Diceros bicornis minor: one gene and its partner. Each later gene encodes a partner of the first gene's protein in a complex. Links are inferred from orthologs where the notes say so. Each region holds a gene or a part of one and is shown in the gene's direction. Other genes may lie near its edges.

The links. The genes of interacting proteins can lie anywhere in the genome.
Region 2: CRNKL1 (region 1) and RBMX2 share a complex: the UniProt entries of both Homo sapiens proteins name them as parts of the minor spliceosome. The link is inferred for Diceros bicornis minor from reciprocal best matches to the Homo sapiens genes CRNKL1 and RBMX2.

The regions. Positions count from the first base shown.
Region 1 is NC_080758.1:46,552,279-46,556,030, reverse strand, and holds the start of CRNKL1 (crooked neck-like protein 1), read left to right. Parts: upstream 1-1,433; 5' UTR 1,434-1,533; coding exon 1,534-1,584; intron 1,585-3,485; coding exon 3,486-3,638; intron 3,639-3,752. UniProt on the Homo sapiens protein: Involved in pre-mRNA splicing process. As a component of the minor spliceosome, involved in the splicing of U12-type introns in pre-mRNAs.
Region 2 is NC_080781.1:119,060,064-119,063,815, forward strand, and holds the start of RBMX2 (RNA-binding motif protein, X-linked 2), read left to right. Parts: upstream 1-1,147; coding exon 1,148-1,154; intron 1,155-2,037; coding exon 2,038-2,072; intron 2,073-3,752. UniProt on the Homo sapiens protein: Involved in pre-mRNA splicing as component of the activated spliceosome. As a component of the minor spliceosome, involved in the splicing of U12-type introns in pre-mRNAs.

The DNA.
Region 1 (3,752 bases):
AAAATTTTTTCGAAAGCAGTATCTGCAAAGGTAGACATCATATTTCTACATACCTAAACATATAAATATATTTCTTCCAAACACCAAAAGAGACTTGCAGCTGTCAGAATTCTCTTAATCAATGAGCTATCAAGACATGTAAGACATGGAGGAAGCTTAAATGCATACTACTAAGTGAAAGGAGCCAATCTGAAAAGTCAACATACTACATGATTCCAATGATATGATTCTGGAAAGGCAAAAAACTACGGAGATCATAAAAAAAAATCAGTCATTGCAGGGGGCAAAGGGGTGGGGGGAAGGATGAACAGGCAGACTACGGAGGATTTTTAGGGCAGTGAAACTATTCTTTACCATACTCTAATGGTGAATCAATGTTATTATATTATTTGTCAAATCCCATAGAATGCATAGCACGGAGAGTGAACCCTAACATAAACTACAAACTTTGGGTGATAACAACGTGTCAATGTAGGTTTATCGACTATAACAAATGTACCACTGTGGTGGGGGATGTTGATAGTGGGGAGGCTGTGGGAGTTGGGAGGGTGTGGGGGGGTGCTGGGGAAATACAAAATTCTGTGAACCTTTCACTCAATTTTGCTGTGAACCTAAAACTGCTCTAAAAAATAAAGACTTTTTTTTTTTTCTCTTAACCATTTGCTTGCAGATAATTAATTTTTCTGTTTCTGTAGGCAGGACAAGAATTACACCAGCTAAAATTTACTGAGCACTTTACATAGGTTTTCTCTTTAATCCTGGTGAAATGGATATTATTACCCTCGTCTTACAGTTAAGGACATTGAGGCCAAGAGAATTTACATAATTAAGGCACTCAGAATTTAAACATCTGTTTATCCGACCACAAGTCTGGCTGGTTTGCTAGTACTCTGCTGACTTATTTTTTTTCCCTATTATCTGGTTTTAAAACACCGTCCGTTATTTTTAATCACAAACCTTAGAGTTAATTATTAGAGCACAAGTGTGCAGAAGGGGAGTGGACCTCAGAGACTACAAAGCCTAGAATGCAACGCAGCGCCGGCCGCCTAGGAGCGCAGCACCTTGCCCCCTCAGCATGCTGGGAATGCTAGTTTTCTGGCCTGCCGATCTTCGCCAGCCCTCGAGCATCCGGCCCGGAGCTTGGTTCCCACTCCCTTTGCCGGGCGCCACAGCTCGACAGATACACCCGTCCTCGCACGGTCATCCCAGTCCTGGAGACTGACCTGGGGACGCGCCCCTGACGCCCTAGACCCTGTAAGAGTGTCCCTGCAGGGCAGGCCAGCGCTACCTACCTCAACCGCAATTCCCGGACGCGGCGCTCCACCCCCGGCTCCAAGGAGGACGCGCAGCTCGGTTACCACGGAAACGACGCTGCCTCCGTCACGGTGCGTGCTGGAGGTCAAAGGTCACCCCCAGTCAGTTCCGCTTCCGGTTCCAGGCTCCAGTTTGTTGTCAGAAAGCTTTGGAGAGTCGTTGAGTTTTGGGGGCTGGTTTCTGGGGTCCAGGGGTCGCCCGAGGTCTGCTGCTGCAGCCATGGCGGCCTCCACCGCGGCTGGGAAGCAGAGGATTCCCAAAGTGGCCAAGGTAGGCGATAGCGAGGGGCCTTGTGAGAGGAGGCCTGGGAGAGGGGCTTGCCTGAACCCCCGTGGTGCCCGGGGCGGGAGAGTGTTGTCCCGGGCGCAGGCCCACCCGGTGCGGGGCCGAGGGAGAGAAGGAGAGGAAGGGTCAGCCGGCGGTGGGCCGCAGGCTCTTGTCACCACGGAGCAACCCGCATGGCCTTCGTTCTGGGGAGTTGTGTTTGCGGACGGAGGATTGGGGTCATTTAGCAAACATGAACCGAGAAACGCAGTGCGCTCGGCGCTGGGGAGCTACGCTTTAATGCGGGCCACGAGCAGTACTCAAATTTAAGACACGAGTAAGTGTAAAATTGCAGCCTTACCAAGTGCTACTGAGGCAAAGTAGAGTAGGCCGTGGAATAATGAAAGTTGTGTGAGGGGGTCTCCAGAGTACATTTTGCTGAGGAAGTGACATTTAAGCCGAGACTTGAAGGCTGAGTAGGAGTTAACCCAGCTGAGAGTGGACGGAATGAGAGTAGATGACAAGAGTTATGTAGAGGCATAATTTAAGTTCATTAAACAATAAATTTGATATTATCTGATATTTGCATCCGTAGCTGATACTTACCGAGTGGCTAATAGGTGACAGGCTTTGTCCTGAGCCTTTACAGATACTCTTCCTCCAGTCTGTTTCTCCAGCCCAGAGGGCTCTCTTGAGCTTGTCCTTTACATATCCATTTGGATGACTCCCAGAGATGATGCATCTAAAGCACATAGCATAGTGTCTGGCCGTTAATGCACATTAGATATGAGCTGTCATCATTATCATCATCATTATTCTACACATGGCATTAAATAATTAATGTTTTTTATAATTCAGTTACATAAACTTGTATTGGGCACCACTGGTCCAATGGAAATATGGTGTGAGTCACATATGTAATTTTGTTTTCTCATAGCTACATTAAAAAGTCAAAACGGGCCAGCCCTGTGGCAGAGTGGTTAAGTGAGTGTACTCCACTTTGGTAGCCCGGGGTTTGCAGGTTCAGATCCCGAGCGCGGACCTACACACTGCTCATCAGGCCATGCTGTGGCAGGCATCCCACATACAAAAAATAGAGGAAGGTTGACCCTGATGTTAGCTCAGGAACAGCCTTCCTCCCACACACACACACACACACACACACCACACACACACACACACACACACACACACACACAAAAGTCAAAACAGGTGACATTAATTTTAATTACATATCTTATTTAACCCAGTGTATCCAAGATATTGTCATTTCAACATGTTATCAATATTAAAAATTTTAATTAGGTAGTTTATTCTTTTTTTCATACTAAGTCTTCAAAATCCACTATGAATTTTACACTTACAGCCCATCTCAATTTGGACTCACCACATGTGGCTCATGGCTACTATACTGGACAGCACAGCTCTAAGACCTCAAGAAGCTTACAGTCTAATGATGGGAACTTACTGAATATTGTCTTTGACTTGGAATGCCATGAAAAACCAAGTACAATTAACCATGTGGGGCATAAGTTGAAGAATTCTGTAAATAGAGGTTGTAATGCTAGATAAAAAATGGTATACATCTTGATAAAACAAAACCTCTGGTGACAGTTGTACCTAGGCAGTCTCAAAGTTTATTATTATACTAATCTAAAAGGGAAAACTTGCTATTTTTGCTACCTTTTCTCTTAAGACTTTTACCCATGGCTTTGTAATAAATACCATGCATAAGATAGAAAACATAATTTTTTTTCTATTTAGTTTCGTAGAGAAATGGGAACATGTCATACAAAAAGGGCATCTTGTAATAATACTTATAAAATTCACATCCTAAGAAATGTTTGTTTCCTAAACCTTGTGTGAAGATCATCTGCTAAAAATAGAAATGTCTTCTGTCTTAAAAGGTGAAAAACAAAGCCCCGGCTGAGGTACAGATAACTGCAGAACAACTCTTAAGAGAAGCTAAAGAAAGAGAACTTGAGCTTCTCCCACCTCCACCTCAACAGAAGATCACAGATGAAGAAGAGTTAAATGATTATAAACTAAGGAAAAGGAAGGTCCGTCAATGTGATATCTTTTAGTCTATTAATATTGTTAAGAATTTATAGGTCAGAGTTTGAAAAGTTCCTCACTGGTTAGAGAGACTATAAAATAAGAAGGGGTTAGTGTTT
Region 2 (3,752 bases), on another chromosome or scaffold:
TTTATATTGCAGCCCTCCAACTCTCAGACAGCCATTTCCAACTTTTTCCTGAGGAAGAGCTAGGGGTAAGATCTGGAGGTTGCAGAAGGGGTAAGGTGGTTGTAACAATGGCTGTGGGTATTTGGAACCTGAGAAGAAGATTATTGTTAATATTAGTAATACCTACTTCTTATCACACACACTTTACATGCATGATCTCATTTAACCCTCACAACATCCCTCTGAGGTGATATTATCACCAATGCACAAAGAAGTTAATTGAAGCCAATTAAATTGCCCAAGGTTTTACAGCTAGCAAACGGTGGAACTGGGATTTGAGCTTAGGTCTGCCAAGCCTCAGAGTCTATATTCTTCTAACTATGCCACCTGGTCTCTCCAGAAGGTAAGTTGCTGACCAGCGATAGAGTGAAAGCTATGTGGCATCATCCTATGGCATTGAAAACCTGTGCCCAACATCATGAGAGATGCCAGCCCTCGCCATGCAAAAGAAGAATGCTGCCAGCTACATGCAACGTCACTGTGACTTGAGCCAAGACAGGCCCGCCTTGTGCTTCATCTCTGAGGGCTTTGCTTGCCTTTCAGCTTCTCTCTCTGATCACCCATCTGCTCTAGTCTTTTCAGTGATGTGTCTCGGTTATCCGGCTTCTCTGCCCCATGGCCCACCCAGTCCTTTCCCTAATCTGCAGACTGTCTTCTATTCCCTGGATCAGTGTTTCACCTGGCACTCCTGCTAACTGGCTTCTTCACCTTGATGTCAATATGCCATTCTATGATCTGGCTCAGCAACAGAACACCCCAGAAAAAGTCTGACTCAGAACAGTGAAAATGACTGAGAGGAGGGTAAAAGCCAACCACGCAAGGAGTCTTTTGGAGGATAGGGGGTGGGGCAGTAGTCAGTGGTTTATCAAGTGCCTACTCTGTATTTACCTGCTTAGTAAATTGTGATGACCATTTTGGAACTCCTGCTCTAGGCAGGCTCCTGTCATCCTTCAAAAATGCTTTTCCATTCATCTCCAGTTAGATTGGTCCAGTTCTACGCCTCATCACACGTGGTCTCATTGTCCCGTTCAGTTCAGTTCAGCATGCATGCTCCTTAGCACGCCAATGGGGATTTCACATTATGAATTCAGAGTAAATGTGATTCGCGATGATAGGTGGGCTCCACTTGGACCAGAGCCATCTACTTCCTCAGCAATTTCTTCTCTACTCTCTCCCTTTCTTCCCTGGAACTGGATTCTGCTTTTTAAGTCAGCTCATCAAAAACTTAGGCAGCTTCCGAAGTTTGTGCGGCTTGAGGTGTGGAATGCTGGTGCTTTGGCCTGGGCAGTGGAGGAAGGGTGAACAATGACAGCCAGGTGGTAAAAGGACATCTGTTGTGTGTTTTCTAGAAAGCATCCTCACCCCTGGAAGCAACTTGGACTCCTCCTTCTCAAGAGTTTGGAATTCTCTGTCCAGCTCCTCAAGATTCTACCTAAATGTCAGATTGCTATGAGCAAGCTGTGCCAAGCTGGTGGGGAGCCAGTGCGGGTTCACTGTGCTTCCAATTCGTCAGTATCTGACTTACATGACTCGTGCCCGTCCTCCTGCAACAGCTTCTCGCTAAGCTTTGCAAACTGCGCTCAATTAGCTATGGATGACAGCAGTCACAGATAATCCTTAGACGGTCTAAGGCAGTGGTTCTTACCTGTTGTTTTTGAACCATGAACACTTTTTAGAATCTGATGGAAGCTACGGAACCTTCTCCTAAAAAACACACATGTTCATGTTCATGTACATACACATCGTACAAACAAATTCAGGGTCTTCATAGGCTCCCTGAAGCCCATGCATGGATTCGGGTTAATATCTCTGGAAGAGATGATAAGACCCTCTGTTAACACAGTGCATCATTTCTTATTCCCTTTATTTCTCCAAGTAACCTACAATTAAGGGACAGATCTTTTAAACAAATACATTTAATTAAATAAATTTAATCTTCAACTCAAGGAAAATGTGGCCCACATCCACCCTTTTAGGCTTCTGTTTTGCTTCCATCAGACAGCATTATCCCTAAGTTTCCAGTGGGGGAGCAGGTAAGTACAGGATGGCATGCTGGTTAGATTTATAGGTCCTCTCAAGTCGACTTTCCTGACGGTGACATTCTTTTGGATCAGGAGAAATAAGTGGGTGAAAACACTGGAAAATTAAAGGTGCTTCTTCCAAAAGAACTTTTCTGCAGTGTTTGACAATGTTGACCACCTTTTGCTCTCTTCTTGAATCCTACTTTTTCCTGCTGCTTCATCTTCATCTGTCATCCTCCTCTTCGGTCTCCTTTGTTGGTTCCTCAGGCACTTTTGACTCAACAGTTTGCCAACTGAATTCATCAGTTTCCTCCCAAACCAGTCTTCTTCCTTGCCTTTCTTACTTTGGCAGAGTGTCACTACCCAGGTAGTCTCTCAAACCAGAAACATAAGCGTCATCCTCAGATGTTTCCTCACTAAGCACATCTATTTTAGTCAACATGTTGTGCCACTGAAATCTGTTGGCTTTGGTCCTGCCCATCACAGCCAACTGGTCCCCCGACATTAAGGCTTGAATGCCTTCAATCCATCCTCCATACTTGTTCCAAAATAAAATTGACCATTTCATTCCCAGGGTTAAGGGAGCATACTCAGATCGTCTGTTTTTTCACATCGTGTTTTCCCTCCAGACTGAGCATGTTCACCTTTGTACTGTCAGCACCGAATGCAGTGTCTGCATATAGCAGGTCTTCAACAAAAGTGGCTGCCTTGTTGGTTGGCTGAATGACTGAATGATTGAGCCGTATGATCATTTCTCATTGCCAACAGGCTGAAATCTGAACTTCTTGGCTTCACCTACAAGGCCCTTCACAAAATGGCCTCTTCCATCTTCATGGGATGCCCTGCCCCAACCCATCCCCTGGTCACAACATATACTTTTGATGCTTTGATTCCTTTACCTTTGGTGGTTCTGCTGGTTCTTCTGCTCGAAATGCTCTTTCTGTACAACACCCATCCCGTCTTCCATCTACATGGTGACTGCTGTCAAGACCCAGCTCAACTGTCACCTCCATTTCTGTAGCTTTCTCTGACAATCAGCTTTCCACCACCACCCCCCTTCTGATCCCCAGTAGTCAGAATTAATCGATTCCTCTCCTGGTACCCATAGCATTTCACTCATACCTTCCTTATGACACTCATCCCTTTGTATTATATTCATATATGTAACTGCCTGGCAACATTGTGAGGTACTCAAGAACAGGGACTAGGTCCTGTGGTCTTGTTCACTATAGTATCTCAAGCATCTAGCCCAGTGCCTGAACACTCACAAACACAGGATATGCGTTTATGTTGGTGTCATGTGTGTTCTTATATATTTTTTTAATATATTTTTATCTTAAAAAAATACCGGCATGGAACACCACCTCCTTTGCTATCATCCTGAGGCAAACCACCATTGTCTCTTGCCTGAATTACTGCAGATCTTCCTAACTAGTCTTCCTGCTTCTACCCTACACACTCCCTCCCGCTCCCCACCCCACCCAGTCTGTAGCCAAGGTGATCCCGCTAAAATGTAAATCAGATTAAAATCCTTTGGTGGCTTCTCACCTCACATTGAGTAAAATCCAAAGTTGCTACCCAACATGGCCTTGCCTGATTTGCTCCCACTTATCCTGTGCATAGTGGCTAAGGGTGCAGACTTCGGAGCCACACTACCTGGATCCAAATCCTGGCTCTACCATTTACCAGCTG